Linked DNA regions of Callithrix jacchus. The protein of the gene in region 1 interacts with the protein of each later gene in a pairwise test. Links are inferred from orthologs where the notes say so. Each region holds a gene or a part of one and is shown on either strand. Other genes may lie near its edges.

The links.
Region 2: the proteins of FHL3 (region 1) and ZNF512B interact in binary tests that used the Homo sapiens proteins (3 or more experiments, as listed by UniProt). The two-hybrid records come from large-scale screens. The link is inferred for Callithrix jacchus from reciprocal best matches to the Homo sapiens genes FHL3 and ZNF512B.
Region 3: the proteins of FHL3 (region 1) and SPMAP2 interact in binary tests that used the Homo sapiens proteins (3 or more experiments, as listed by UniProt). The two-hybrid records come from large-scale screens. The link is inferred for Callithrix jacchus from reciprocal best matches to the Homo sapiens genes FHL3 and SPMAP2.
Region 4: the proteins of FHL3 (region 1) and FOSL2 interact in binary tests that used the Homo sapiens proteins (3 or more experiments, as listed by UniProt). The two-hybrid records come from large-scale screens. The link is inferred for Callithrix jacchus from reciprocal best matches to the Homo sapiens genes FHL3 and FOSL2.
Region 5: the proteins of FHL3 (region 1) and PIERCE1 interact in binary tests that used the Homo sapiens proteins (3 or more experiments, as listed by UniProt). The two-hybrid records come from large-scale screens. The link is inferred for Callithrix jacchus from reciprocal best matches to the Homo sapiens genes FHL3 and PIERCE1.
Region 6: the proteins of FHL3 (region 1) and CCDC198 interact in binary tests that used the Homo sapiens proteins (3 or more experiments, as listed by UniProt). The two-hybrid records come from large-scale screens. The link is inferred for Callithrix jacchus from reciprocal best matches to the Homo sapiens genes FHL3 and CCDC198.
Region 7: the proteins of FHL3 (region 1) and KIRREL2 interact in binary tests that used the Homo sapiens proteins (3 or more experiments, as listed by UniProt). The two-hybrid records come from large-scale screens. The link is inferred for Callithrix jacchus from reciprocal best matches to the Homo sapiens genes FHL3 and KIRREL2.

The regions. Positions count from the first base shown.
Region 1 is NC_133508.1:74,574,100-74,577,577, reverse strand, and holds the end of FHL3 (four and a half LIM domains protein 3), read left to right. Parts: intron 1-185; 5' UTR 186-205; coding exon 206-361; intron 362-469; coding exon 470-644; intron 645-1,492; coding exon 1,493-1,662; intron 1,663-1,750; coding exon 1,751-1,937; coding exon of another isoform or gene 1,938-1,965; intron 1,966-2,062; coding exon 2,063-2,217; 3' UTR 2,218-2,852; downstream 2,853-3,478. UniProt on the Homo sapiens protein: Recruited by SOX15 to FOXK1 promoters where it acts as a transcriptional coactivator of FOXK1.
Region 2 is NC_133506.1:59,440,487-59,445,035, forward strand, and holds the start of ZNF512B (zinc finger protein 512B), read right to left. Parts: upstream 3,021-4,549; 5' UTR 2,913-3,020; intron 2,760-2,912; exon of another isoform or gene 2,626-2,759; intron 2,035-2,625; exon of another isoform or gene 1,991-2,034; 5' UTR 1,868-1,990; intron 1,180-1,867; 5' UTR 1,179-1,179; coding exon 1,037-1,178; intron 739-1,036; coding exon 596-738; intron 138-595; coding exon 9-137; intron 1-8. UniProt on the Homo sapiens protein: Involved in transcriptional regulation by repressing gene expression. Associates with the nucleosome remodeling and histone deacetylase (NuRD) complex, which promotes transcriptional repression by histone deacetylation and nucleosome remodeling.
Region 3 is NC_133523.1:384,885-389,412, forward strand, and holds the start of SPMAP2 (sperm microtubule associated protein 2), read right to left. Parts: upstream 2,953-4,528; 5' UTR 2,899-2,952; coding exon 2,588-2,898; intron 1,181-2,587; coding exon 1,058-1,180; intron 798-1,057; coding exon 726-797; intron 314-725; coding exon 252-313; intron 1-251. UniProt on the Homo sapiens protein: May be involved (but not essential) in spermatogenesis.
Region 4 is NC_133515.1:86,640,047-86,643,807, forward strand, and holds part of FOSL2 (fos-related antigen 2), read right to left. Parts: intron 1,140-3,761; coding exon 1,032-1,139; intron 1-1,031.
Region 5 is NC_133502.1:184,009,496-184,013,817, forward strand, and holds the start of PIERCE1 (piercer of microtubule wall 1 protein), read right to left. Parts: upstream 2,879-4,322; 5' UTR 2,849-2,878; coding exon 2,706-2,848; intron 1,654-2,705; coding exon 1,575-1,653; intron 1-1,574. Other genes in the region: MRPS2 (small ribosomal subunit protein uS2m), read left to right, coding at 3,756-3,798, 3,986-4,111. UniProt on the Homo sapiens protein: Microtubule inner protein involved in the attachment of outer dynein arms (ODAs) to dynein-decorated doublet microtubules (DMTs) in cilia axoneme, which is required for motile cilia beating.
Region 6 is NC_133509.1:92,135,062-92,139,267, forward strand, and holds the start of CCDC198 (factor associated with metabolism and energy), read right to left. Parts: upstream 2,929-4,206; 5' UTR 2,790-2,928; coding exon 2,567-2,789; intron 94-2,566; coding exon 11-93; intron 1-10. UniProt on the Homo sapiens protein: May be involved in tuning the metabolism, energy expenditure, and excretion processes.
Region 7 is NC_133523.1:32,042,061-32,045,821, reverse strand, and holds part of KIRREL2 (kin of IRRE-like protein 2), read right to left. Parts: intron 3,669-3,761; coding exon 3,518-3,668; intron 2,851-3,517; coding exon 2,745-2,850; intron 2,635-2,744; coding exon 2,486-2,634; intron 2,251-2,485; coding exon 2,123-2,250; intron 2,038-2,122; coding exon 1,905-2,037; intron 1,636-1,904; coding exon 1,535-1,635; intron 1,374-1,534; coding exon 1,154-1,373; intron 704-1,153; coding exon 599-703; intron 276-598; coding exon 166-275; intron 1-165. UniProt on the Homo sapiens protein: May regulate basal insulin secretion.

The DNA.
Region 1 (3,478 bases):
AATACAGCAAGAAATATGCAGAACTCCTGGTTTCCCGGAAGCACCCTTTCCCCATCCCCACCTACTCTGAACCAGCATTTCCTATGCCAGGTTTCTTGCTGTGTATTGAATGCAGAGGGCTCTTTGCCAGGAGCCAAGTCACAGCCCCTCTGCGTGACCCCAGTTCTACCTTGTGCTCCCCACAGGGTTCTCTCCCCTTGCCACCATGAGCGAGTCATTTGACTGTGCAAAATGCAGTGAGTCCCTGTATGGACGCAAGTACATCCAGACAGACAGCGGCCCCTACTGTGTGCCCTGCTATGACAATACCTTTGCCAACACCTGTGCTGAGTGCCAACAGCTTATCGGGCATGACTCGAGGGTAAGGAGAGGACCGAGCTGGGCAGGAGGTGGGTGGTGACTGGAGGAAGGGGGCAAAGGATGGATCTACCAGGCCTGGGTGCCAGCGTCCCTGCTGTGTTCCCCACAGGAACTGTTCTATGAAGACCGCCACTTCCATGAGGGCTGCTTCCGCTGCTGCCGCTGCCAGCGCTCACTAGCTGATGAACCCTTCACCTGCCAGGACAGTGAGCTGCTCTGCAATGACTGCTACTGCAGTGCATTTTCCTCGCAGTGCTCTGCCTGTGGGGAAACTGTCATGCCTGGTATGTCCCCAAGGGGCTTATCTTGTATGAGAACTGGCATGCCTGGCATCTGCGTAGGGTCTTGGCATGTGTCTGTCTCATACATGGATACTTGGTCTGTGTAAAAACCTGCACAAACACCGTGTTTCTGGAAATTTAGTGTATGCAGGATCTGTTTGCCTGGTCTCCTGGGGGCTCACTATGTGCTGGCAGATTGACGCATTTGATACATACTTGGAGGCTTAGCATGTGTGAATATCTGCATGTTTGGTACATGTAGATGCTAGAGGCATGCTGAGACTGTCATGCTTGGTGCATTGGGTCTTAGCGTGTGCAGAGGCAGGTAAACAGAGGGCTTAACATGTGGGGAACTGCATGCCTAACAGAAATGTTGGGACTCAGCACATACGGGCAATGGTGTGCTGAGGAGATGTGAGGGCTTAGCATGTACTGAACCCGTCAGGCCCAGGGCATTAGGACTTTGTGTGGGCAGATACTTATTTGCCTGACACATGTGGGGTCCCGTGTGAGTGCTGAAACCATCACATCTGTTATATGAGGACTTAGCGCATAGTGAGACTTCATGACTATTACATGGAGGCTTGCTGTGTACTGAAATAGTCATATCTGGGACATACAGGGGCTTAACATATGCCAAAATCCTCATGTCTAGCTCGTGCTGAGTCATCATGTCTGGTGTCTGGGGAGAGGTTAGCATGCGTAATGTACCTGGCGGGGGGTCTTGCTGCATGTGCATGGACGTCACCCTGCTCAGGCTGTGAGAGCAGTGGAGACTCTGGAGAAGTAACAGAGCGTGGCCCTCAAGAGCGTGGGACACAGCCTCTGAGTGTAACCCCTGTTCCCCACAGGTTCCCGGAAGCTGGAGTACGGAGGCCAGACGTGGCATGAGCACTGCTTCCTGTGCAGTGGCTGCGAGCAGCCGCTGGGCTCCCGTTCTTTTGTGCCCGACAAGGGTGCTCACTACTGTGTGCCGTGCTATGAGAACAAGTTTGCTCCTCGCTGCGCCCGCTGCAGCAAGGTGGGGGCTGGGCCAGCTAGGTGGGGGTAAGGCCCGTTGTGGGGTGGGAATCGCCACTCATACCTACTAATGGATGCTGCCCCCACAGACGCTGACACAGGGTGGAGTGACATACCGCGATCAGCCCTGGCATCGGGAATGTCTGGTCTGTACTGGGTGCCAGACGCCCCTGGCAGGGCAGCAGTTCACCTCCCGGGATGAAGATCCGTACTGTGTAGCCTGTTTTGGAGAACTCTTTGCACCTAAGTGCAGCAGCTGCAAGCGCCCCATCGTAGGTGGGACAAGGGTCAAAGAATGGAGCGGGTAGGGTTGCAGGCAAGGGAGTGGGATGTGGTATTGGGCGAGGTTGAGGGCCAGACCATCCCCGGATCTGCAGAGCTAACTTCCGGCCTCCCTCCAGGACTCGGTGGAGGCAAGTATGTGTCCTTTGAAGACCGACACTGGCACCACAACTGCTTCTCCTGTGCCCGCTGCTCCACCTCCCTCGTGGGCCAAGGCTTCGTGCCAGATGGAGACCAAGTGCTCTGCCAGGGCTGCAGCCAGGCAGGGCCCTGAGCCAGGGCTCCTGAGCCCAGGCTTTCCAGTACCACTGCCCCAGGACTGTGGCTCCTCTTCTAAACCACCTCTGGGACCCAGCCCCTCCCCAGTGTGGGTCTCTCTCTGGGCTCCGGGATTGTTTCCCTACTCCAGCATCCCCAAACTGGTGCTCCCTGAGCCAGGCCCCCAAACCTGGGCTCTTATGGAGCCTCCATGAGACAAGCCCCTTCCCCACACCTGGACTCCAGAACTCAGCCCTCTGCCCTGCAGTCTGGGTTCCCAGACTGAGTCCTCTCCCCAAATCTGGGCTCTAGACTCCAGTCCTCCAAACCCGAACTCTGGGACCTAGGCCCCCTTAAACATAGACTTCTCTTTATAGATTTTAGGTCTCCTATGGGTGCCTGAGAAGTCCTCAAAAGTTACTGTTCCCAGGCTCGACCCACCCCACCCCATCCCCAGGGCTGAGGCTGGCTTTGGGGGCAGCAGATAAGGGGCCCACTGGTTAGGGGGCCTTAGGGGACAGGGTGCTGCCCAGCCTGTGTCCACCAAGTATCTCCTCATTTTATTTCAGCTCCATTTTGCCCAGAGATGGGCAGAGGGGTGAGATTGGCTCACCCCCCCTTCTAGATTCTGCAATAAAGTGGTGTGAGGAAGCAGGGCCTCTGTATGTGTGTTCAGGATATAGAGGGGAAGGGTATTTACAGACTGGGAGGCTCAGAATCTCTTCTAGACCTCGTCTTTGCAGGGCGGAGGAAGCGGGGCCGGGCCACGGGTGGGAAGTCTCTCCCCAGGAAGGGGATCCCCGCCACAGCTACTGTCCCTCTGGAGCTGGGCCTGCCTCCCTGCTGGCAGAGGGCTTTTTCCTTCATTTAGGGAAGGGAGGGGTTTAGGGGAGGTTCCAGACGAAAGCTAGGGTGGCGGTGGGGTTCCTTAACTGGCTGGTGCAAATCGTCCCCTCCACCAGGAGCCCTGCCCAAAGCCCGCAGAGCCAGGACCCGGTTCCGATCCCGAGTCTGGGCCCAGACCCTCTCAGCCCCCTTCCCCCTCTTCCCAAGGATTAGCGGGGGCGGCCCGGGATCCGCTCGCACCGCACGTTTTTTGCCAAAAAAGGAAAGGATGCAGCTGCACATGCCGCGGGAACATCTGGATCCGATTCCCGGCATGAATGGGTCACGCCCCGTCCCCCGTCTCACCCCCTCCCCCCGCCCTCCGCCAACAGTAATTCAAGTCCAGGGTGGAGGCGGGAATGAGCGAGGGGGGCTATCCCCCAAAGTGGGGA
Region 2 (4,549 bases), on another chromosome or scaffold:
TCCCTTACCCCTTGGCACCGCTGGTAATGATACTTGAGCCCGTAGATGCTGGGGAACTCCAGCCAGCACCCTGAGTTTGGACACTTCACCCTCGAGTGTGCCTTGAACTCATCCTTCCAGGCGTTCATCAGGGAGAGCTGGGCGTGGGGAAAGGCGGCGCTGCTGACCTGCAGCCACTGTGCCACCGCCAGCCCAAGCCCCAGACTCAGAGCCCTCCCTGGGCCTGCAGTGTACACACACCACATGAGCTCCTCAACCTCGGGACTGCGGTGGGAATTCAAGCCATTCCGGCATTGGCCATGCACAAGGCCTGTTCTGGGAGCCCACCAATGTGACCCCCGGAATCTCATGGCACATCAAATACAAAGCCAGGCCTCAGGAAGCCTGCCAGCCCAGTGCCCACACCTTAGGCATAGAGTTGGTACCAGATGTGCAGAGGACAGATCAGGCCAGGAGAATGTCTGGACAGGGAGACCCCAGCGTGAGCCCCACCATGTCGCTGATTGATAGGGAGACCCCAGCGTGAGCCCCACCGTGTCGCTGATTGATAGGGAGACCCCAGCGTGAGCCCCACCATGGCCCTGAGGGAGCTCACAGGAATGTCTCGGAGGGTCTGGGTCTCGGCTTTTGGCCGCCCCTTTTTCTTCCCTTCTGTCTTGTCGCTGGCTAGACTTCCTGGGTCAAAGCAGAGAGGGGCTTGGCCGGGCACTGTCTGTCCACCACGGACCACCGGCATCCCTGCAGCACAGAACACAGCAAGGCTGGAAGCCGTGCAGCACTGCCTACTGCTGGGGGCTGCACGGGCCCACAATGAGCACCACTGTCCCAACGCCAGGGCGCCAGGCCAGGGGCTGTGGCCAGCTGAGGACAAGAACCCAGGGCCCTGGACTACATCCAAGGTGAGGCTACCCTGCTTATGTTCTCAGGAACCCCATGGCCTAGCTGGGTGCCTGAAGACAGGACGTCGGGAGGTGGCCCACTCCTATGACTTGCTGCCCAGAACCACCTGGAATCGACTTTGGCCGACTCCTCTTACCCATCTTCGGTGGGTCGTGCAGCATCGGCAGTCGGACCTCCTTTCGGCTGCCATCCTTCCCGGGACCACTCTTGCTGGACCCTGGGAGCCGACGGCCTCCAACACAGAAAGGATCCGTCATCTCTGCAGAACAAGTGGACATTCTGTGAAGCATGACAGGTCCCCTGAGAACACGTGATGGGATCCTGGAGCCCCGTCCTCCGCAGGCCCTCTCTGATCAGGGAAGAGGAGCCTGGCCTCCGTGGTTTTGCTCACATGGGAAAACAAGTGATGGGGGCTTCGGATGTAGGGGGAGCTGCCTGTCAGGGTCTCCTCGGACAACCCAGGAGGCATCGTCAGTTTGGAAGGACCTAGTCCTGTGCTGAGACCCTCACCAACTTCCAGACCCCCTTCCTGACAGGTGTGCAGCTTTGGAGATGCTGCCGAAGCTGACGCACTCCTACCCAGAGCTGGGAGGGGTGTGTCCCCAAGAGAGGTGCCTGTGCAGGAGTAAGGAGGCTGGCAACATTCCTCCGGGGGCCAATTATGTCTCGGGTGATGGCTGCTGGCTCACAGGCTGCCTGGGCCCAGCAGGGGGGCCCACCTTCTCACCGGAGCCCTCATCTCTTCCCAGGCAGACCTGATGCAGTGCCAGCCCACCCAGGCAGGCACCCTTGGAATCCTCACCAGACGCAGATGGAAAACAGTTGAGGTGGGCTGAGGACCCCTGGCCTACTCTGGCACTGCACCTAGCTCCTGTCCCCGCCCTTGGCGGCCTTGTCTCCAGGCTTGGCGGCTGATCTGCCCCCCCACCCCACCTCTCTCTGAAGCCTCTCAGTCCCATCTACTGACCCGCCACCACCACTTCAACCAAACGAGTCTCAGAAGCACCGGCAGTGAAGGCCCAGGTTGCTGGCCAGAGAGAACGTCCTGCTGCCCCAGGCTGGGCCCCTGAGGGCCTGTACTGCTGCAGAGCTGGGGAGCAGAGGAGATGCTGGGCCCAGACCTGTGGAAAGGCCCTGCAAGGGGGTGGGGCAGGAAGCAGGGTGAGGGCTGAGTGGGGAGGTGGCCCCTCCTGACAGCTTCTAATTAACTTGGATCCCAGAGTATGGGAAGGGGCCACTGTGTCCAAAAGGGCCAGAGAGCAGGGTCAGAGGTCAGGACAGTCATCGCCCATTGCCAAGGGGGAGGCCAGTGTCGGGGACAAAGTTCTCTGGAAGGCCTCACTTTGCAACTTCGAAAGGAGACAGGGCCGGCAGGAGTCATCCCAGCCCCTGACGACCCCGGTGGCCTGGGGTGCAGGTGCTTGCTGAGGCCCCACGTCCAATTTTTTTGAAGCCTGGGCGAAGAATTCACAGTAGTGGGACCTGAGGCCAGGGCCAGCCTGGGGGCAGAGACGCGACTCGCGCCCCGGATAAGGGGCTTCGGCCCTCCCGAGCCCAGCGGGGTCACCGAGCCCTGGCGGGGAGAGGGGGCTGGCCGCGCTGCGCGCAGAAGACGCCAACTGCGGGGCCGCCGCGTAGGCCGCTCCGCCCGGGACCCCGGCCCGGGCGCGGCGCGCGGGGAAGCGCGGCCAGCGACGCGCACCTGGGGCCGGCCTCGCCACCCACCTGTCACCTGGGGCCGGGCGCGGGGCGCGGGCCTCGGCCTGGCCGGGCAGGGCCGGTCACGGGCGCGGGGTGGGGGGGCGAAGGCAGTGAACCAAAATGGCGACTTTTTCTGGAGAAGGAGGAGGCAGGAAGACGGCGCCGGCGCGGGGCGCCGGGGCTCGGGCGCGGCGGGGGGCGGGGGGCTCTGGGCCCGGCCCCTTCCTCGGCCCGCGCGCGGGGTCGAGATCGGGCGCGGCGGGCGCCGGGGCTGCGGCTGAGTAGGGGCCGGGGCGCGGCCGGGCGCTTACCTGCGGCGCCCAGCGGGGCTGCGGCCGGGCCGGGCCGGGCCGGGCCGGGGGGCGCGGGGCGCGGGGCGTGGGGTCCGGGCGGCGCAGGCTGCGCGCGGCGCTGCGCACATGCGCGCTCCCGCCCCTCCCACCTTTGACAGTTTTACTGCGCGGGGGAGGGGGCGAACTCTCGCGTTATTCCCGCGGCCGCTTCGCGACAGGGAGGGGGCGGGAGGGGACACCCCGCGCTGCCCCGCGACCCCCCTGCTCGCGGTGTCGCCCCCGTCGGCAGGTCCCGCAGCCCAGAGTAGACAGTTCTGCAGTCCTGGGGCGGGGGCCGTGTTTTGGACAGTGGGGTAAACTGAGGCCCATAGCGGGGCTGGGCACTGCCCGGAGCCCGGCGCGCGGATTGAGGCGGCCTGATTCCACCGCGTCCTGGCCGGCGCGGCGAGGGCGGCCTCGGGGCGCGTGATCCTGACCTCTGGCCCTGGGGGCCGTGCACCCGCTGGGCAGGATTCAGCCTCTTTCCACCTGACCCCCAGCGGGGATCTCCTGGCTCCTGGCAGTGCCTGGCGGCTTGAGGACATGGGGCCTTACCGGGGTCACTGACCATTGGGTCAAGCTTTCCTGGCTCTGGGGGCAGTGGTTCTGAGCCAGTGCCCACGCCTTCTCTGCCCCACAGCCTGGGCTTCTGCAGGGGACACTGGGGTGCAGTGTGGGCTGGGCGGTCCGGAGGTGACCGAGCACTGATAGCACCGGGCTGGGGAATGAATGAGGCACAGAAAGGTGTGCTCTCAAGAGCACCCGGAGGAGGTCTGTGCGCCTTACCTGGGAGGCCCTGCACCGGTCTCGCACAGGACCTACAAGAATTTCCCCCAGGAGAGCCCGCCCACCTTTCCTTCCTTCCCTTCCTCCCTTCTTTTCCTCCCTTCCCTCCTCCTCCCTCCCTTCCTCCCTCCCTCCTTTCCTTCCTTCTCTTCCTTTCCTCCTCTCCCTCCCTCATGCTCTCCATCCCTCCCTTCACTCCTTTCTCTTTCTTTCCCTTATTTTCTTTTCCCTCCCTCCCTCCCTTCCTTCCTCTCCTTTCTTCTTTTCTTTTTTTCTTCTGGAGATAGGGTCTCACTCTGTCATTCAGGCTGGAATGCAGTGGTGTGATCTTGGCTCACTGCAGCCTCTATAACCTGGGCTCAAGCAATCCTGCCACCTAACCCTTCCAAGTAGCTGGGACTACAGATGTGTGCCACCACACCTGGCTAAGTTTTAAAGTATTCATACAGACAAGGTCTTTCTGTGCTGACCAGCCTGGTCTTGAACTCCTAGGCTCAAGCAGTTTTCCTGCCTCAGCCTCCCGCAGTGTGGGCATTACAGGCGTGGCCCACCACCTACAGCTGGCAGGGCCATTCTCACCTGATCACGGTACCTATCTCCCAGGGAAGGCCTCAGGCCTCAGGAGGGAAGAGTCAGGGAGACTCTGGGTTTTCATCTTGTGCCTACAGAGCTTTTTTTTTTTTGAGATGGAGTCTATTTCTGTCACCCAGGCTGGAGTGCAGTGGTGCAATCTCGGCTCATTGCAACCTCTGCCTCCCAGGTTCAAGCAATTCTTCTGCCTCAGCCTCCCGAGTAGCTGGGATTACAGGCGCATGCCAGCCACTATGCCC
Region 3 (4,528 bases), on another chromosome or scaffold:
AAAAGCGTGGAAACATCGTGGACTGGGAAGGATCTTTTGGTGAAGTAAACTCCTACCCTGGAGAGTGTGCCCCGCGTCCCTCGCCCCCAGGACCACCTCAGCCAACTCTGGCTCCTCAGGGGACAGACTGCAGAGCAGGACCCCAGAGAGAAGTGGGGAGGACAGAGGCTCTGCGGAGATGGCCAGGGGAGGCCAGAAGCACCTGGATGCAGCGGCCGGGCAGGGGCCTCGGCAGGCACAGCGGCACCTACCGGGCACTGTGATGGTGAGGGTGGTGTCCTCCAGGAACCGTTCGGTCCAGTACACAGATGGCCTAGAACAAGCAGGTGGCTCAGGGAAGGGGGCAGAGAGCCCAGGACCTGCCGGAAAGAAGCCCAGGTCTCTGTTGGGAGGGCGGCCAAGGGGAGGCTCAGAGTTGCAGGGAGAGGGGGAGGCCAGAGGAGGCCACTGCAGGGGACGCACGGATTGTCCTGAGTAAGGCTCGTGTCCAGAGGGGGAGGCAGCTGGGGGAAGAGCGGAACCACAGACCCAGGTCACAGCTGCTTGCCCCGAGTCCAGAGCACAAGGCTGAAGTCAGGAGCAGCCCTGGGGGCAAGAGCCTCCAACCTGAGGAGCCCTCCCATCCTTCTCTCTGGAGAGAAGAGGGTGGCCGACTGAAGGGGTTCCCTGGAACCTGCTGCGTGTCCCCCAGCACAGACAGATGGCGGAGACGGCCCTGGACTTACCAGTACAGACAGAACTGCAGGCTCGTCTTGCAGGGGGAAATCCAGGCATAGCCCCCACAACAGCAGCCCTTCCTGTGAGGAGACGGGGGCCGAGCCCCCACCGCCTTTTGTCCTGGGTCTCCCGTTTGCTCCCGGACTCCTCACTCTCCTCTGGCCACCGCCCGGAGGGCCAGAGTTCCCAGTGAGTCCTGGTGTGTGGCCGTAGCCAGCTAACCCCTGAGTCCATCGGACTTGGTGGCGGTTGGGGGAGGGGAGCCAGCAGAGGGGACGGGGGAGCCTGGGAGGGTGCAGAGGAAGCCCCAGCCCTGCCCCCGCCCCCACCGTGGCCTCACCTGTCTTTCACGACTTGCCAGTCTCTCTTGGGCTCTGCCAGCTCCCTGAGCCTCCGCCGCCTCCTCTTCTTCCTCGCTCTGGCCACGGCGGTGCCAGGGATCTTCTGGCTGATGGACAGCCGGCTTCGGGAGAATTCCATGTCTAAGCTGGAGCTGCTTTTCCACCATGATGCATTTGGGAGCCAGACGGCCTGGGCCTTGCTCAAGCACCTTTCGTCGGCCACTTACCCCACCCCCGTCTCCTGCTCACGCCTCCCCCTCCCCCCCACCGTGCCCCCCACCCCACCCCTGCCACACACACATCTCCTTTCCCGCCAGGGTCTCCAGGGGGAGGACTTTGGCCTCAGGAAGGCCTGGACTGAACCCCAGCTCCAAAGTGTGCGGGATGGAAGACCCTGGCCGGGACTCCTGACTCCCTAGGCCTCAGCGTCCTCCTCTGTGAACCGGGGATGAGACTGGCCCCCATCCGGTGGGGTGCCTCAGTGAGTACTGAGGGGATGTTCACTCAACCCACAAGCATCTATCAAGGAGCTACTGTGTGCCAGGCCCCAGAGGGGCAGCCAGGCTACAAAGAGCACAGCTCCTGCCTCCCAGGAAGCTCACAGACTGCGGGAGGACCAGGCAGCAGGTGACGGGGTTGAGCGCCGGGACCTCTGCCCACCTCCCTGCCCCTGTGTCCGTCCTTGACACAGCCCTGGGCTCCCACGTCCTCCCCGGGAGCCCCTCATGCCCCGCTGTTTTCTCTGCAGGTCAGCACAGCCCGAGAGAGCAGGGCCGCTGCTGAGTTCTTGGCAGCACGGGTCGTAGCCGGGGAAAAGGCCCAAGAAGAGGGCCCACGGGAGAAGGGGCAGCTGGGCTTGGACGTGCGCGGAGACCACGCGCTGCGGGAGGCGAGGAGCGAGCCCCGGAGGCGCCAGGCGTGCACTCCTTGCTGGGGTCACTCGGGCAATTTGCCCCAAATGATTGAATCACCACCCCTGGTGCTGATTCACCAAATCATCATGGGATTTCACCATGTTCGTCAGGCTGGTCTCAAACTCCTGACCTTGTGATCCGCCCGCCTCAGCCTCCCAAAGTGCTGGGATGACTGGCCTGAGCCACTTCTCCCCAGACAAATTGGGAAATTTTTTCCCCCATTTCTTTTTCTCTCTGATATGAGGTCATCACTTGTAAACCCTGAATTCTGGGCGCCGGAACTCAGCGTGCCTGACTCCAAAATCAGTTTACTCCCCCCCCGCCACTGCACGGAAGTGTTTGCTGGCGTCTGCCTCGGACCCCAGGGAGGGGTGCTGGCCGCCGTCTGACCCAGCCCACACCCAGGCCGCCCTCTGACTGGGCCAACACCTGGGCTGCCTCAGCAGGGCCCCTTGGGAGCAGCAAGCCAGGGAGAGGCTGGGAACAAGACTTTCCTGTGCCTGGGAAGCTGCCCTGGGGACTGCTGGGTGTGGGGGCTGCTGTCTCCCCCATGGCCAGGGGCTGAGCCCTACCCCCACCCCGTGCCCGGGCAGCCCCCTGCCCCCCGGTGCCTACCTCATCTCAGGAATGTCCTCCTCTGCGTCCTGGTCCAGAGCTCTCTCCAATTCATAGACGGCGTCTTTGGGGTCCAGGGTCTCTGGGAGCTCCTCCCCGGCCCGCTCCTCAGGGGGATGCTCCCCTTCTGGGTCTTCAGGGCCCAGCTCTGCATGGCCCAGGTCCTGGAGTCTGGGCTCTGTGGCCCGCCGGCTCTCGTTCGCAGAGCTCTGGAGGCCGCGAGGGTCACCATCCGGCTCCTTCTCTGACCCACCCCCAGCCTCGGAGTGCTGGCTGCCCAGTGAACCCCGCCCTTGCCTGGCGTCCCCCATATGCAGGTGGCTCCCCAGCCCACGGCCTCTCTCCTTCCACACCCAAATGTGTCTGTGGTCACCGTGGCGACAGGAGAACGCCCCCACATTCCCCACACCCACATTCTAACCCCGGGCTGCCCACAAGGCCGGTCACCTGGGCTTGTGCTGGGATCCAGGGTTAGTCCTGGATTGTTTAGGAAGGACACCTGAGGGGATCTGCAGAGGGCTTCCCTCTATTAAGACACAGAGGCCGGGCGCGGTGGCTCACGCCTGTCATCCCAGCACTTTGGGAGGCCGAGGCGGGTGGATTACGAGGTCAAGAGATCGAGACCATCCTGGTCAACATGGTGAAACCCCGTCTCTACTAAAAATACAAAAAATTAGCTGAGCATGGTGGCGCGTGCCTGTAATCCCAGCTACTCGGGAGGCTGACCCAGGAGAATTGCCTGAACCCAGGAGGCGGAGGTTGCGGTGAGCCAAAATCGCGCCATTGCACTCCAGCCTGGGCAACTCAGCAAGACTCCATCTCAAAATTTAAAAAAAATTAGCCAGATGTGGCGGCATGTGCCTGTAACCTCAGCTACTAAGGAGGCTGAGGGAGGAGAATCCCTTGAACACAGGAGGTGGAGTTTGCAGTGAGCCGAGATCCTGCCATTGCACTCCAGCCTGGGTGAGGGTGAGACCCTGTCTCAAAAAGAAAGGGGGGGCGCAGGGGGCGGTGGTTCCTGCCTGTAATCCCTGCGCTTTGGGAGGCCCCGAGGTCAGGAGTTTGAGACCATCCTGACCCACATGGTGAAACCCCATCTCTACCAAAAATACAAAAATTAGCCGGGCGTTGTGGGGCACGCCTGTGGTCCCAGCTACTCAGGAGGCAGAGGCAGGAGAATGGCTTGAACCCGGGAGGCAGAGGTTGCAGTGAACCAAGATCGCGCCGCAGCACTGCAGCCTGTGACAGAGGGAGACTCCATAAAGAAAGAAGGCCGGGCGTGGTGGCTCACGGCTGTGCACTTTGGGAGGCCGAGGTGGGCAGATCACAAGGTCAAGAGATTCAGCCCATGGTGAAACCCTGTCTCTAAAAAAAAAAAAAGCAAGAAAGCAAGACCAGAGCGGTCCTGATACGCAGCTGTAGGAGGTGCTGCTGTTTCTGGGGCTGCGGCCGGAAGTCACTGGTGACGTTCTTCCTCTGTGGTTGGGGAATGAGCTCGTGAATGGGTCAGTGACTGGGTGGATGGAAGTAAGGCCTTACCGTTCACCCAATTCTGGGCTCCTTTTTCCTTGCAAAAGAAAATGGCAGGAGGAGAGAGAGAAGGTGAAGGAGTTTGCCATCAAATCCACCCGTGCCAGTCTCTGAAATGCCCCCCACCGGATTCATCTTGAGACAGCTCCTGTCCCGCAGACCCAAAGAGGGAGGGCAGGGCAGATTTCACGTATCAGAGATGCAGCATAGCAACATTTCAGTCCAAACAGTTGTGAGAGATTGTCGCAGAGCTGACAACATCCTGCTACCTAGTGAGGAAATGTCCAGCACAGAACGCAGAATCCCCAGGAGTGGCCAGTGCCCCCCGTCAGCTGTGACGTCCAGCACAGAACACAGAATCCCGAGGTGTGGCCAGCGCCCCCCATTAGTTGCTAGCAGGACTGCCGGTCA
Region 4 (3,761 bases), on another chromosome or scaffold:
AGCTAGTTGGGAGGTTGAGGAAGGAGAATCACTTGAACCCAGGAGGCAGAGGTTGCAGTGAGCTGAGATCATGCCACTGTACCCCAGCCTGGGTGACGAGAACAAAACTCATCTCAAAAAAATTATAATTAAAAAAAAAAAAAAAAGTGAGGCAAGGGGAATGTTTTCAAAGCCCCATCCTGGGCGGTCATGATGAGGACCACTGACAGAGTCTCTCATCTCCACGCTCTGAAAGCATCCACCCGGGAGAGTCAACCCTGGCTTGGGCCCTCCACACAGCACACAGCCCTTCCTGGAGGGCCAGGCTCTGAAGGGAGTTACGTGACGTTGGTCAGGTCAAGCCTAAGACAGGGAAGGGCAGGGCTGTGGGCCCCCAGGCCTGGGCAATTAGGCAGCATGGGAGAGTGACTCACAAGGGCAGCATGCAGTGCCACAGCCGGCATGGCTCTGAGTTCATGACAGAGGCAGGGAACCCGCCTGCCCATAAAGGAAATGAGAAAACCCCAAGAAAATACAACTCGGCTGCCACGTGACCCATCTCCATCAAGACTTCCCCCTGCGCCAAGCAGAGTGCTCAGGCCAGGCTGGGCCACTCCTGACGGCAGTAGGCACGGGAGTAGCCGGAACCTTGGGAAGCAGCCCTGGAGGAGGCAGGTCTGGATCTGCCCTGGCTCACAGGGACCTGTGATACTGAAACCCTCTGCCATCCCTCACCCAGGAGCCCCCAGAGGTCCATGAGCAGAGAACACTCAGGCATTGGGTAAAAAAAAGTGGCTAGACTCCACCCAGAAGGTTGTTCATTTCTTCCCTCTGGGTCCTGGCTGGTGCTAAAGGCCACCTGCCTCCCTCTCTCTTTTTTTCAACTGGCACAATGCTGACCCATGTGTCCAAAGGAAGGAAAGCTCTATCTCAACTGACTCATCTGTAGGGTATTTGTGGGTAAGCAGACAGCTGTGGGAGAGAGGATCGGAACCCCTGGGGCTCTCATTCCAGCCCACCCAGAGGTGCTCCCACCCAGAGGTGTTCCTCACCGCCTGCAGCTTCTCCGTCAGCTCCCGGCGTCGGTTCCGGCACTTGGCTGCAGCCAGCTTGTTCCTCTCCCTCCGGATGCGACGCTTCTCCTCCTCTTCAGGAGACAGCTAGAGGCCAAACCCAACAATCATGATTAGAACAGGGCCAATGGTTCAGAGCATCATGATTAGAAAAGGGCCAATGGTTCAGAGCATTTTTTTAAAAACTGTATTTTAAGTAAGGCAAGAAGCCCTTCTGGAAATGGGGAGAGGAGGAAGAAAGGTAAGAGGAGCATGGCTGGACTCAGAGGCCCCAGAACATGCGGCTCACTGATGTCTGGTAGCCTGGAAGGGGTCTTTGAGCTGAATCTGCCCCAGGAGGTGATGTCCATGTTTAAAGTCCATGTTTAAACAGGACAGCAATAGGTCAGGGATTCGCTGGCCCTGGCATGATGGCAGCACCTGTCACATCAGCCCTGATTCAGTGCCCAGACCAGAGAGAAGGAGCTGGGGATGCTTCTCCAAGAGCCCTCTCCAGCTCCTGCCAGCCAGGCGTGGCCCCACTAACTTAAGCAGCTTCTTCCAAACCCCAGCTAATTACTCCTCCCATCACTTTGCCTGCTCTGCAAGCCTCATTATCCCTATTTGGTTAAGTAGCTGGGCCTGGAGTCCCCACACAGGTAAGAACCACCCAGGGGGAATGTTATATTGCTGTTGGGAGGGCCAAGAGTGCTACTCCACTCCGGATTTCCTCTGCCAATCCCAGGGTGCCAGCTGCTCACAGTTCAACTCCAAGTACTCCTCCACATGCCTGATGCAGTGCTAGGTTGGACAGGACATGCAAAAGGAAGAGGAGCCCCCAGCAGGTATAATCCTGCTGCCCACCATACCCATCCACTCAACGAGTGAGCACCTGCTTCCATGTGCAAGATACAGTTCTAGAGGCTTAGGATTTATCTGTGAACCAAACAAAGGAAGACTCCCCTGCAAAGAGCTTAGGGTCTACATTCCTCCAATGAGATGGTTAGGAACTTGTCTCTCATGCCAGAGGGCATGAACTCCGCTCTACTGAGCAGGGCCAATGCTCTGGTTACACAGAGCCTTGCAGAGCTGTGACCCCAATGCCTCTTTCAGGCAGAGGTGACACAAGGAGCCAGCTGTGGGCCAAAACAGAAAGCAATGCCAAGGGAAAGATCACCCATTCAGTTATCAGACATTGACACCTACTAAGGTATCAAGGTGTGCATCAGACTGCACACCTACTAAGTGCCTGGTGCTATTCTGGGGGCTTAGATGATTTCAAGGAGAATAAGACCTGGGTCAGCTCTCATGGGACACCTGGGGCAAAGTCAAAGCTGCTTTTGTAGGAGCAGGAAGAAGTTGTCCCATGGGGGGATACTGCCTGGACTTTGGGTCACCCCATGAAGGAAAGAGCCACTGTTCTGGTTGAAACCAAGTCAGAGTCCCACGATGCTCCCACTAGCCCTGGAGGTCTGTTGCTGTGATGTTCTGAACGGCCAAGAGAGGACAATCATCACAGCACCAGAGAGGGTAATCCCATGCCTGCCACACAGAGAGGAGGCCACGGCCTGGCTGAGGTCATGAGGCCACTTGGCCAAGGCCCTGGATACTTGCTGCTCCTAAGCCTGTCTTGACTTGAGCCCGGCAGAGTTGCCAAGAAAACCTTATGGCACTGCTGCAGGCCTGGGTTTAGGGCTCACCACTGAAAGGGCCACCAGGGCTCCCTATAAGGCCCAGGAAGCCCCCTAGATCCCTCGCTGAGAGGCAGAAAAGAAGGAGGCTGGCCTTGACCCCACTCCAAGCCTTCCTCCCCACTTGGCTACTTCTGGACAACTTTTGGCCTCCTGATTGACCTAGAAGTCTCTCCCCTGACTGGTGAGGTGTGGGGCAACTCGTGGGAGTTGTCGACATAGGAAGTGATCCGGGCCAGTGAGATCAACATGGTTCCAGCTTGAGTATGTCAGCACCACCACGTACCCACCCACAAGCCACACACCCCTCTCCTCCCCATCTGCTCAGCGTCGCTGCCACAGGGCACAGAGGGAGCCTCCCAGGCAGGCTCCAGACGAGGCCTATGAGGCACCAGGTCAGCTCCGGGGACAGGCTCCTCCCTAGCAGGGCAGCTTGGGGAGGTTGGGGCCGGCTGGAGTAAGCTTCAGAGCAAAGCCCTGAGGGCTGGGAACCCAAATAGCCAGGGTTCTAGGCTGCTACTGACCAGGCTTCCTCAAAGCTGCTGAGTGATTGTGTGAATTCCCAACTGATGTGGGATAAAATGCTCCTTGTTCTCTCCCTGCCTCTCAAAAAAGGAAGGAAATTCTCCAGACAGAGTGTATGAGGCACGCCTAGGTGGTGTGGTGGGAAAATCATAGGGCTGAAGGTCAGGAGAAGTGGGTTCCAGTGCTGGCTCTGCTACTAACTCACTGTGTGACTCTAATAGAGCCCTTCAGGCAGGGCGCAGTGGCTCAAGCCTGTAATCCCAGCACTTTGGGAGGCCAAGGTGGGTGGATCACGAGGTCAAAGAGCGAGACCATCCTGGTCAACAAGGTGAAACCCCATCTCTACTAAAAATACAAAAATTAGCTGGGCATGGTGGTGCGTGCCTGTAGTCCCAGCTACTCGGGAGGCTGAGGCAGGAGAATTGCTTGAACCCAGGAAGTGGAGGTTGCAGTGAGCAGAGATCGCGCCATTGCACTCCAGCCTGGGTAACAAGAGCGAAACTCCGTCTCAAAA
Region 5 (4,322 bases), on another chromosome or scaffold:
CAAGCATTTGTCTTCTGTTCCCACATGGGAGGTAAACAGCTTCTCTGGCATCCGCCCTTGGTCACGAAACTGGAACACAGACTCCAGATGCAGCAGGTGGATAAGAAGCAGGAAGACCTCCTTTGAAACCTGTCAGGAGTCCCTCGTGCCTCCTATGCCATCACCTGGCCATGTCAGTGGCATGAAGGCTCCTACCATTTATAATAGGGACACGTTTTCATGGCCTTTTATAAAACCGAAAACATCCGGAGCCATATGAGTGAGTGTTCTGGTCTTGTTGTTTTTGGTGACAGGGCCTGGCTCTGTCACCCAGAGTGGAATGCAATGGCACAATCACGGCTCACTGCAGCCTCAACCTCCTGGGCTCAAGCAATCCTCCCACCTCAGCCTCCTGAACAGCTGGGACTGCAGGTGCATGCCACCACACCCAGCTGATTATTTTATTTTATTTTTGTAGGGATGGGGTCTCACTATGTTGCCCAGGCTGGTCTTGAACTCCTAGCCTCAAGTGATCCTCTCACCTCAGCCTCCCAAAGTGCTGGGATTACAGGTGTGAGGCACCCTGCCCAGCTGTGTCTGGTCTTTTTCATAGAAATACCTGATCTCCAGGGAAAACTCAGGGTCATTTGACTCTGGGAAAGTGATTCTCAAATGCTCCAGCAGTGTTAGATAAGTAATCACCTTCTCACGAGAGCTCAGCCATTCATGCAACACAACTAAATAAGCATTCACCAGACCTTTCAATGATGAATGTTTTGACAAAGAAAAAAACGCCCCACAACATTCTCACCCCAAAATGGCTGTCCCACTTTCCCAGGTCCCTCTGTCCATTCACCTGGACCTGCAGGAGGCTTGGTTCCGGGAGATTCTAGGGGGGCCTGAGGTCAAGCTCAAAAGGCATTTGGCTTCCCCAAAGGCCCACAGGCTCCTGTGCCCACCAGTGCGCCTTGCCTGCCCACAGGCTATGCCATCAGCCTGTACTGCCTCTTAATGTCACAAGTTAACATCTCATAAAGTAAAATACCAGAAAGAAAGGAACCCTTCATTGATTTGCCTCAAAACTGACTGCTATAAACTGCAGGAGATGGTTGGGTATATGTATGACTGCTGTGCGTCTGGTGGGTGTATGGGGACAGAGTGATGTCAGCATGCATGTGTGACTGCCTGGCGTGTGGTGGGTGTATGGGGACAGAGTGATGTCAGCACGCATGTGTGACTGCCATGCTTGTGGTGGGTGTATGGGGACAGAGTGATGTCAGCACGCATGTGTGACTGCCGTGCGTGTGGTGGGTGTATGCGGACAGAGTGATGTCAGCACGTCCATATGCACTTTCCTCCTCTTTTAAAAACTCCACTCCCAAATGTATTTACTCGCTGAGTTCCACCCTACCCTCTCCCAAACAAGTTGAGGAACCTCCCTCCTCCCCATTTGTCATGCTGGAACTTTGGGCCCCTCCCTGGGTGTACCCCTCCCCGTCTCACTGTTGACCTATTGAGAACCCCAGGTTTTTAGCCTCTTCTTTGAGGCTGCCCACCCCCTGGCCCCCCAACACCCGGTCTTGCTTCCCACTTACGGGCATCTCGTGCACGGTGGGGGCTCTGCTCCCGTAAGCCTGGTTACTGGTCCTGTACACTGAGACAGCCTTCTGGGTGCTGGTGGATGAGAAACACTGTTTTCATTCATTCAATCTAATTCTGTCCAAGCCACAGCCTTGTATTTTGTTGGCGGCACTCCCCTGGAAATGCTCCCAGGGAAAGAGCCATGTGCCTGGCTGGGCTGGTGATGCAGCCTCAAAGGCAGCCTCCATGAGTGCCTGGCTGACGGTCCTGGATGGCCCAGCTTCCCTGGCCCCCTCTGCTCACAACTGTCCCTGCTCTTTCAAAGCAGGCCAAAGCCCTGAAGAGCAGGCAGCCAGCAAGTGCTGACCCCCAGCCCTGGCAGGGCCTTGGCACACGCTGCAATTTCTGGGTAACTTAGTCACCTTGTCAGGAGTGGAGGCTTGGCCTCCAGATCCTGCCACCCAGAGGGTCCCTCTGCCTCTGAGCCCCCACCCTCGCTGAGGCCATGCTTCTACTGGTACCACTGCCCCTGTCAGGGACAGGCCACTGAGAGGTTGCAGGCACACAGAGTAGCTCCACTGTAACCCCAGATCTTGTCCAAACTATTCTTCCTACATCCCCATCATCTCTCTGGGAGAACGAGGATACGAACAAACCCTGCCCTAGAGGACTGTTGAGAAACCAAACCCGGGGGCACCGCCAGATGCCTGCACCTGCCTGTCGGAATTCAAAGTTCCTTACTACTTCTTAGTCTGCGGCGCCCTGTGGCAGCTCACAGTCCGCAGCAAGACAGTGGAGGTGCTGCTGTGCTCATGCCCTGCAGCAGAGTTTCAGGGTAGAGAGGAGAGGTGACTCATCCGACACAAAACCGCGGAGCTGAGACCACAGCTGGGCTTTCTCATCCCCCCGCGGCCCCGCACCGCCTGACCCCGCCTGAACCCGCCTGACCCCGCCTGACCCTTTCCTTGTATCAGGCTCTAGGGAGCACTTCCTCAGCTCACTGGTGGGCGATGACAGCGCGGGCCCCCGATGACCACTCGCTCCTCTTGACTTCCGTAGCTAGGATCTTGGGGGTCTTGCGGGGCCTCTCAAACAGGGATATGGAGCAGGGGACGCCAGGCCCAGGCACGCTCCGGCTTCCTCACCTGTAGCCCCGGAACCACCCCGGGTTGTTGAATCGGCCCGGCAGGTCCGCGCTCACTCGGTAGTAGTCGTTGGTCCTCTCCGGCGGGGCCGTGGCCTTGGGCTCCACAGGCTCCCCGCACGGTCTGGGGCTTTCCTCGGCCATTGCGCCTCCGGCGGGAAGCGGGACTAGGCCGCGTCCTGTTGCCTAGCGACGGCCAGGTCACGTGACGGGGGCGCGAGCGGCGGGGCCTTAAAGGCGCAGCGCGTGGACCGGGCTCCTCGGAGGGCGAGTCCCCAGGGACCGGGAAGGTCAGGACGGCCAGGGATTCCCTGCTGGAACCGTCGTGTGGGGCAGCCCTAGGCCTCCAGCCGCCCGCGGGGGCACCGGGGCACCCCAGCATCGGGGCGTGGGCTCCCGGGGTAAAGGAACCCCAGGGCCTAGCACCCCGCCAGCCAGGTGACGGGGTTTAAGCGCTGCCGGTTCACGCGGCAGGCAGCGATTGGACGTCCGCTGTCCAGTGTCCTCCAGGGATGCCACGCCCCCAGCACCCCGAGTCTAAATTGAAACCCGAGATCTCGCTAACTCTATGCGATTCTCCTACGCCAAATATCGTTTAAATATTAAAAACAATTTTGGAGAGCCAGAGGTTGCGCGAGACGTGGTTCACAGCTCACGTGGCGGGAGGCGAAGGTCCCCATCGCTCAGCGGGTGCCCCCAAGGGTCAGGGGACTCCCGGGCCGGCTCGGCACATTAGCAGGGCGGGGCAAGCTGCAGGGCGAGGAACGTGGCCCCACTCCCCGCCAGAGACTCTAGAGCCCCGGACCCCGGGTCCTGCTCCGTCGCCTGCTCCGCCCCCGCCTCCGCCTCCGTCCCCGCCCCTCGTCTGCCCCGCCCCCGCCTCCGTCCCCGCCCCCTCGCCAGCCCCGCAGGGAGGTCCCTGCGGCCCGGGGACGGCGCCGTGGCTCCTCCAGGCCTGCAGGTGGTGCTGCGGCCCCGCGCGGACGGTGGCGGGAGGGAAGGCCGCTCGGCCGGGCCCGGAGGGAGGCCCCGTCCCGTCCACGTCCCCGCCATGGCGCCTTCCTCGGCAGCGCTGCCTCGAATGCTCGGCGTGGGTGAGCGCGCTTGCGGGACCCGCGGGAGGAGGATGCGGAGGGCGCGCGGGGACCCGAGGGGGCGGAGGGGACCCGGAGCGGGCGCGGAAGGAACTCGGGGAGGGCGAGGGGACCCGTGGGGGACGCGATCGGGGCGGGCGTGGTGCAGCCGCGGCGCGGCGCCAGGACCTCTGTCTGCTTCCCTCAGGCGCCCGGGCCCCGTCGCGCTGGCTGGGCCTCCTCGGGGAGCCAACCCCTGGGCCTGCTCGGCCGAGCCGCAGGACGCTTGGAAGCGCGGCGGCCCCCGCGATCGGCGAGCCGGAGGACGGCAGCGGTAACACTGGGCGTCCCGCCGAGTCGGGTGGGAGCGAGGAGAGGCCAGCAGCCGCCGGGGCGGCGAGCCCTGGAGGGGCCCGGGCGCTGCGCGCGGTTGAAGCTGCGCGCCCCGCCGGGCTTCTCCCGCCCCCGAGCGCGCCGCCGCTCAGTCCTGTCGGACCCAGCACCCCAGGCTGAGGCCACCGCCTCTCCAGGGATGGGTGCGAGGG
Region 6 (4,206 bases), on another chromosome or scaffold:
TTCATCTTACTTGCAGTCTTTGGGGTGGATGCCTTTTAATAATACTTGTTTCTTTGTGTTCCAATGGGATGTCAAAATACACATCTCTGGAAGCTTGAAGGATTGGAGAATAAAAAAGAGTAAATCATTAAATATAATTTACAATTACACCAGGCAATCATTGGTTACTAGAGTTTGTCAACACAATTTTGTACCTTTTCAGTTATTTATATCTAACATGGGTTGAATGTGGAGATGAAACACAGAAAGCAGGGAACCCACATTAGTCCAAATGACACTATTTTAGTCTAGACCCAGGATTCAATTTCTGCTCTCTTAACTTCCTACTCAGGTTCATATGCAGGGAAAGAGTTACAAAATTACCAATATGTTGACTGCAAGTATTTTTCAAACAGAATTTGGTCTGGTAAACAGACATTTACTGACTTGTTTTAATTCCATAAAATCTCCTCCCCAAAATATAAGACATCAGAAAAAACATGTAACTTTAAAAAATGAAAATAATCTTCTCAGATAAAATAGATGATAGGTGATTACACAAAGATGAGAAAGAAATGGATTATGTGTAATCACAATCAAATAGTCCTTTTAACTAGGAAAGAAATGTCCACAGGTTGCTACTATAATACAACATAGCAATATTCTTTCCTGATAAAACAAGCCGGGAATACAGAGTTAAGCCTCTATTAGGAAACAGAGAGGCTCAACAGGTCCATATGGATTTTATTTTCCAGCTTGATTATCCTGAGCTCTTGGGAGTGCTACCATGACCAACGCTGCATGAATGAAATTCTTGTCCTTCCCTTTTAACAATCTGGGCACAGTCTGATTTCTAGATTGTTTCGTAGACTATTTTACAGTCCCACTTTGCATTTAAAATGAAAAAATCCCTGAGTAATTATGCATCTCTATCCTTAAGACATGTGAATGACCATTTTAGGAACTTTGTTCTAACTTTTAGTGGGATGGAAACCATGTCCTTATTTTCTTTTGAAAAGATGCCAGTGTACTGAGCAGGACAGAAAGAACAACAAACATATTGGATTTAAAAATGTAAGTATTTTCAGCTATTTTTTTTTCAGAAGCTTCCTACTACTTATTTTGTTTTATGATCTTAGTGATATTATTTCATTATTTAATTAGATTCTCCTCAAATGGCATAGGCTATGTCAGGCATTTATTTTTACCCTTGATTACAAGTGAAAAAAATTGATGAAGTAACTTGCCCAAGGTCATACGATTTGGTATTTGATGGAGCTGGGGTAAGAATATGGAAAATACTTATCAGAATCCTCATGATCTCCTGGTTATTTATATTTAATGTGATTTTGTCATTTCAAACATAAGCACATTTTCCAGTTAGGACTCTAAAGCACATGAATCAGCTTTCACCATTTATTCAGTTACCAAAATCTTTTTTTTTTTTTTTAAAAAGAGTCTCTGTTACCAAAATCTTAAAACTCTGGAAGGGAGTTTGAATAAAAAAGGAATTCTTCAAGAGGAGCATTGCATACTCTTATTACACATTCATGCTCCATTTTTAAAATCATGTCTAATCACCTATATATCTATCTACCATTAAAAAATTTTAAGAGGAAAATTCCCATCCATGTGCTTAAGAACTTGGAGAGTATAAAGAACATAAAAATAGGTCATATGGAACCAACCAAAGGTTATCAGTTCTCCAGACAGTAGCCATAAAAAATCATTCCAGGCAAGATTTACTAGGTACCAAAAGAAAAAGTGAGGCTTTCTGAACAAGGCTTCCAATAAGGGAAACTTCTTGGCGTTAATGATCCAGAAGGTGAAGAAAAGGGAAAACAATATACATGTATACGTATGTGTATATTATAAACATATATTTCTCTTTCTAAGTGAGAATATCTGTTTAATTATCATTGTGGCCATCATAAAATATTTTACATGGCTTATAAAATATCCCAGGATAATTTATAGCCACTTCAGGCTTAGAGCTTCCAATCATAATGTTAAAGAATTCTGTTCGTTCTGCAGACGACCATGAAGAATGTGGGGCTGGGAAAGGGTGACTCATCCACTCCTCTGGACTGCAATAAATCAATTCTGTTTAGGATGGTTTCAAAATTCACGTTAGAATGACTTCACTCCTAAAGTGCTGTTTTGAAAACCACAAAGCCTGGTGCATTAAACTGTACTGGAGAGAATGATTTAAATTTAGAATCTAACTGAAACGTGATTGCTATCGTTTATCACATTAGTATCTATATAATTTTAATCGTCTGGCAAAGCTAGGTATAAACATTGAAAGCATTACAAACTGAGCTGAAAGGAAATGATTTTTCCTTCTCATATAGAACAGTGAAAAGCCCTTTGTGCAGTTTATACTCCCACTCTAATGTACCCAGAATACTTTCAATTGACATTTAATCTTCATTGAAAGATCTGTTTGAGTTTTCAAAGATAGCCTAAATTCCTTTACATTTCAGTAATTTCGGAACTTTTTGAGATCATGGAGACAGTCAGATAAATCTATTAATAATGCTCCTTGATCCAGATGCACACATCTCGTGCTGGGTTTTATGTTTACCTGCAGAATATCTTCCATACGAGGTTTCTTGTAAAGGTGGCAGCTGCCCTTCCGAAGCTTTATTCTGGTCCTGCAGTCTTGCCGGCAAATATGAAGTCTTTTCTTCCAAATTCTGATTGAATGCAAAGTCCACAGGGCCAGCCGAGGGAGTCTCTCCCTCTTTGTTTTGCAAAGGTGCTACTTTGATCACCCTAGGGTGAGCCTTAGAGCGACTCAGGCCCATTTCATGTGAAAGACATTCAGAGGAAAGCTGCGACTGAAGTGGTTTTGGGGTCTTTAATATAGCTTGTTTTAATCAAGGCATTTCAGAAGTTTACCCTGGCTTTACAAAGCAGTCATTTCCTTCTAGCAGGCATCCTTCTAGCTCTATATCACTGCACACTAACCCTTCTGGCCACTTCCTGGGAGGCTGGTTTCCATGGAGACTTCCTTCAACTTTGCCACTTCAGACCCAAAGAATCCAGTTAAACATTGACTTGGTTATGCTACTTTCTGAAATACTCAATGATAGGAAAAGAAGCCACTATTGATTATTAAACAAATATCTAACACCAGTCTAACACCAGGAAGGTTATTAACAGAGAAAGAAAGAGAGAGAGAGAGAGAGAGAGAGAGAGAGAGAGAGAGAGAGAGGTAGAGCAGAGGTTTAGAGAAGTCTAAAGTTGACCCTTTCATTGCAAATACCTTTGTAAAAAACTGACAGCTAAGAATAGCTAAGCCATCTTTGGAATTAAGAGGATGCATGCCAATGACCAAGGCTTTGTTAATCTTTAATTTTAATTAAATGATTTATGCTTCAAATATGAAGGAAAGCAGCTGAGTGGCTAAAGTGTCATTTGATTTTTCTGTTGATGAGTTGCCTTTGAAGGGGATGAATGCATTGCAGGTCAGGAGGATAATAGAAAATTTTTTCCTGGGGATGAGGGGACAAACTTCTTTAATAAATGGTCTAAGTAAACCTTGAGTTTTTAAAGATAGCCTATTTACTATGTTTTTAAATTAAATTAAATTAAGTGATTTATTTTTGAGACAGAGTCTCTCTCCGTCACCCAGGCTGGAGAGCAGTGGCAGAATATTAGCTCACCTCAACTTCCACCTCTCCAGTTCAATTGATTCTCCTGAGTCAGTCACTCAAGCTGGGATTACAGGCACCTGCTACCACCACACCTGGCTAATTTTTCTATTTTTAGTAGAGAAGGGGTTTCACCATGTTAGCCAGGATGATCTCAAACTCCTGACCTCAAGTGATCTGCCTACTTTAGCCTCCCAAAGTGCTGGGATCACAGGCATGAGTCACCGTGCCTGGCCTATTATGATTTTTAAAATAGAAAAAAAGATTGGAAGGAAATGTGCTGAAATATTGAGTAGTGATTTTTGAATGGTGGGATTGTGGGTGATTTTTATTTTATACTTTCTTTATACTTAGAAGGGGGACTAACTTTCAAGTTCTAATTGTTCATGACCACAGATTACTTGTGTTTTCATTACATCTCCATAGAGAAATTAAAAGAAAATTTATTTTTCATATTTGCACAATCCATTTCCTAAGGACTAATGTGGCGTTTGGTAAGTCTTGATAGACAATAGCATTTATCTAAAAAGATGCCTGAGTTTAGTTTTTTCCTACTTACTCTCTTTGC
Region 7 (3,761 bases), on another chromosome or scaffold:
CCTGGCCTTAAGTGATCCTGGTGTCTCCACCTCCCAAAGTGGTATTACAGGCGTCAGCTACCACGTCCAGCATTAAAGCCCTATTTGAGTTTGGGGTCCCTCTTGAGACTGGGCTATTACTTGGGTCTGGAGGCAGAGTAGTGTCTGGGGACCCTGGCATCCTACCCGGTCCTCGCCGCTGCCCGTCTCCTCTTCCTCGGGTCCTCGCGAACTGGAGCCGTCGCTGCTGCCTGGGATTCGCATTAGGTTCTTTTGCTCGGGGAAAGAGGCTGAGGCTGACGAACAGCGAGGGGCGGAGTTAGCGATGGGCGGGGTGACAGTGTGTGCAGACCAATAAGCGGGAAAAGAGAGGACTGGGAACCAACGAGGCGGATCGGGTGGGGTTGTTGGGAACCAATGAGAATCCTTCCCAGGCCAAGGAGCGTGACCCTGGGAAGGGCGAGTTAGGGCTTGAGGAGAGCTAGCCCGGTTCCGGGTGGAAACCTGAAGGCGACCTACGGGACTGGAGCCAGGGCCCAAGGCCAGGTCAGGTCACTGGGCAGGCAGGGTGTGTGTGGGGTTGGGGCCTGAGGAGCAGGGGCGGGGCTCAGGCACTGACCCTTGCCGTGGCGCCAGCAGCAGAGGGCCACCCCAGTGATGACCATAAGGAGAGTCGTGGTGGCAGCGGCCACTCCGGCCACTATCCGCACAGTGGGTAGCAAATCTGCAGGGAGTAGAGGGGACATCCTGAGAAGGCTGAGGGGGAACCAGGAAGCGGGGGCTCAGGGACTGAGTTTGGGATCCCTGGGTTCAAAAGGTCTCACATTTGGAGAGTCAAAGACCCTTGAATTTTGCAAGTATGTGAGTTTAAATTCCCTGGCTTTAGGGAGTCCTAGAGTTTGAGGGGTCCTTTACTTTGCAATTTGCTTTGCAATCGTTGGAGGGTCCTTTTTGGGGCCCCTCAGTGTGAGGGGTCTCTCAGTTAAGGATTCAGAATGTGAAGGCATTTGTAGTTGGGGGGTCCTGGGACTCCATGAGTCCACAGTTTTGAGACTCCCAAGGTTTGGAGGTCTCTGCATTTGAGGGTCTGAGGTTGGCAGCCCTCGGTTGGGGGATCCCTGCGTTTGTGGGGTTTAGACTCTCCAGATTTGAGGTCTTCAGGCTGGGGTCTCACCTCTACGGCCCAGGCTGGCCCTGGCACCTCCCTCGCCCAGTCGGTTCCGGGCACTGCAGTTAAAGCTCCTGCTAAAGTCAGACTCCTGGGTCCCCGAAATGTGTAGCACCGAGATCAGGCCCGGACCCTGTCCCTCATGGCCCTCCGGGGCAGGGAACGTCTCCACCAGGAACCGGCCCCGGGACCCTGCCTCCAGGAAACCCTCATCCCAAGACCAGACCTGGGGGCACAAAAGAGGGAGGACACCGAGGAGACAGGAGTGGGGGAAGAAGCGGGAGTGATGTCTGGGAGGTCAGAGATGGTCACAGCAGTTTAGGAGGGCCAGGTGGGAAATCAGGGATCACAGCTGGATGGGTCATGAGTGGAGTGACATTTCCTTACCACGGCGTCTGGGGCGGGAGAGGCAAAAACCAGACACTGGAGGCGGGCGGGGCCCCTCAGGAAGGCAGGCGCAGAGTGTAGGGCCGTCACTACTGGGGGAGCTGGGATGGAGACAGTGGGTCACTCAGGACAGGTCTTGCCCCAAAGACTGTAACAAAGCCGGGCCGGGCCAAGGCACTCTCATCCAATCAGGCCACGCCGTTTCCAAACTCAGATTCTCCTAAAAGCCTCGCCTTCGATAGGTCCAATCTTCATGCCCCGCTGGGTGTAAAGCTCTTTCCAGGCCACTCCCACTGCATTAGGCCTGGTCCCCCCGTCCACTCCCAATCCAAGGGCCCTCTAGGTGCCCTAGGAAGCCCCGCCTTCTCACCGTTCACGGTCAGGCGAGCCTCCGCGGCGCCGCCCCCCCGGCCCGAGAGCCCAGGCTCAGCCCTGCACACATAGTCGCCTGCGTCCTCGGGCCCCACCGACGGAAGGCGCAGCGTGGGTCCAGAGCCCAGCACCTGCGACAGGGAAGGGGCGTCAGAAGTCGGATTTGCAAGCAAACCCGGTTCCCCGCCAGCTACCGCCTCAGATTTAGGGTTGCACCTGCGCGCCACCGCGGCGGATCCAGGTTACGCGTGGAAGCGGGTTCCCGCGCCAGGCACAGATGAAGGAGGCGTCTTCTCCCACGTCCACGGACACAGGCTCCGGCTTTGCCTGTAGAATCGGCCCAACTGGACGAGGGAGACGAGGGGTCACATGGCCAGGGCGGAATGCAGCCCCTGATCCTGGATCAGCCCCACAGAAACATGACACCCTCTAGGGCGCGAGAATAAGCCCCAAGTTCACACGCTCCTTCTCCTAATAATCCACGCCCACTCTCCAGGCCCCGCCCCTCCAGGTGCCGCCCCAACAGCCCTGAAAGTCACGCCCACATTTGACCACACCCACAGCCCTGCCCCAACTCACACAGCACATCCAGCGCAGTGGTGCGGTTAGCGCTACCCACGGCGTTGCTGACCTCGCAGGAAACGGGCTCAGTTAGGAACGAGGCATCTGCCACGACCTCCAACCTTGGCCCGCGGGCCCCGAGCACCGGGGAGCCCCCTTTTGCCCATCTGAGGAAGTGGTGGCGCAGTTAGTGTCCTCGCTCTCTGGCACACCTACTCTGGTCCCAGCCCTTCCCAAGCTCATCTTGGGGCTGGAGAGAGGTGGTCTTCGTCCTCACCTGTAGCCTGTGACAGGAGGTTGGGCTGTGGCGTGGCACAGGAAAGTGACCTTCTCTCCCTCCTGTACAGTGTGTGGCGCAGCAGACAGAGTCACCTCTGGGGGGTCTGTGAGGGTGGGATGATGGTCAGGACTAGGAACACCTCTGTCACTGGCCTAGGGGTCCAGTCCCTAGTTCCTCCACCCCAGGAATCTGGGCCCCTAGTCCCCTTCTCCCTTTGAGCCAGGAGTCTAGGCTTTCAGTTCCAAGTTCCTCCAGGCATCCCAATGTGCCAGCCTTCTGTCCTCTCCTACTCTCCCAGAGGTGGGAGTCCAGGCCCAGCTTCCTCTTTCTCCAGGGACCCCAGCCATCTGTCCTCTCCTGCTCAGAGTCTCACTCTGTCGCCAAGGCTGAAGTGCAGTGGCACTATCTCGGCTCACTGCAACCTCTGCTTCCCAGGTACAAGTGATTCTCCTGCCTCAGCCTCCCACATAGCTGGGATTACAGGCATGTGCCATCTCGCTCAGCTAGTTTTTGTGTTTTTAGTAGAGACGGGATTTCAACATGTTAGCCAGACTGGTCTCAAACTCCCAACCTCAGGTGATCCGCCCACTGTGGCCTTTCAAAGTGCTTGGGAATCCAGGCATGAGCCACTATACTCTGCCCTCTCCTGCTCTTTTAGATCCAGGAGTCCAGCCCCAGTGTCCTGGTTCCCCAGGGGCCACAGTCCCCTCCTTCCTCATACCCAGTAGTCAGGGCCCCACACCCCTCTTTGTAGGGCCGGCTGCACTCACACTGCAGGCTCAGTGTGATAGCTGTGTCCCTTCCCGCGGGCAGGGCCTGGCTCCGGGCACGGCAGACCAAGGTGGCTCCATCATCATGGCTGGAAGGAGTCAGGGTTAAGGTACTCTCCACTGACTCAGGGGTCCCTTCCTTCAGCAGGGTCTGGAGGGATGGATAACAATAATAATACCATCTGCCCCTTATATCAGTGGTGTCCAATCTCTTGGCTTCCCTGAACCACATTGGAAGAAGAAT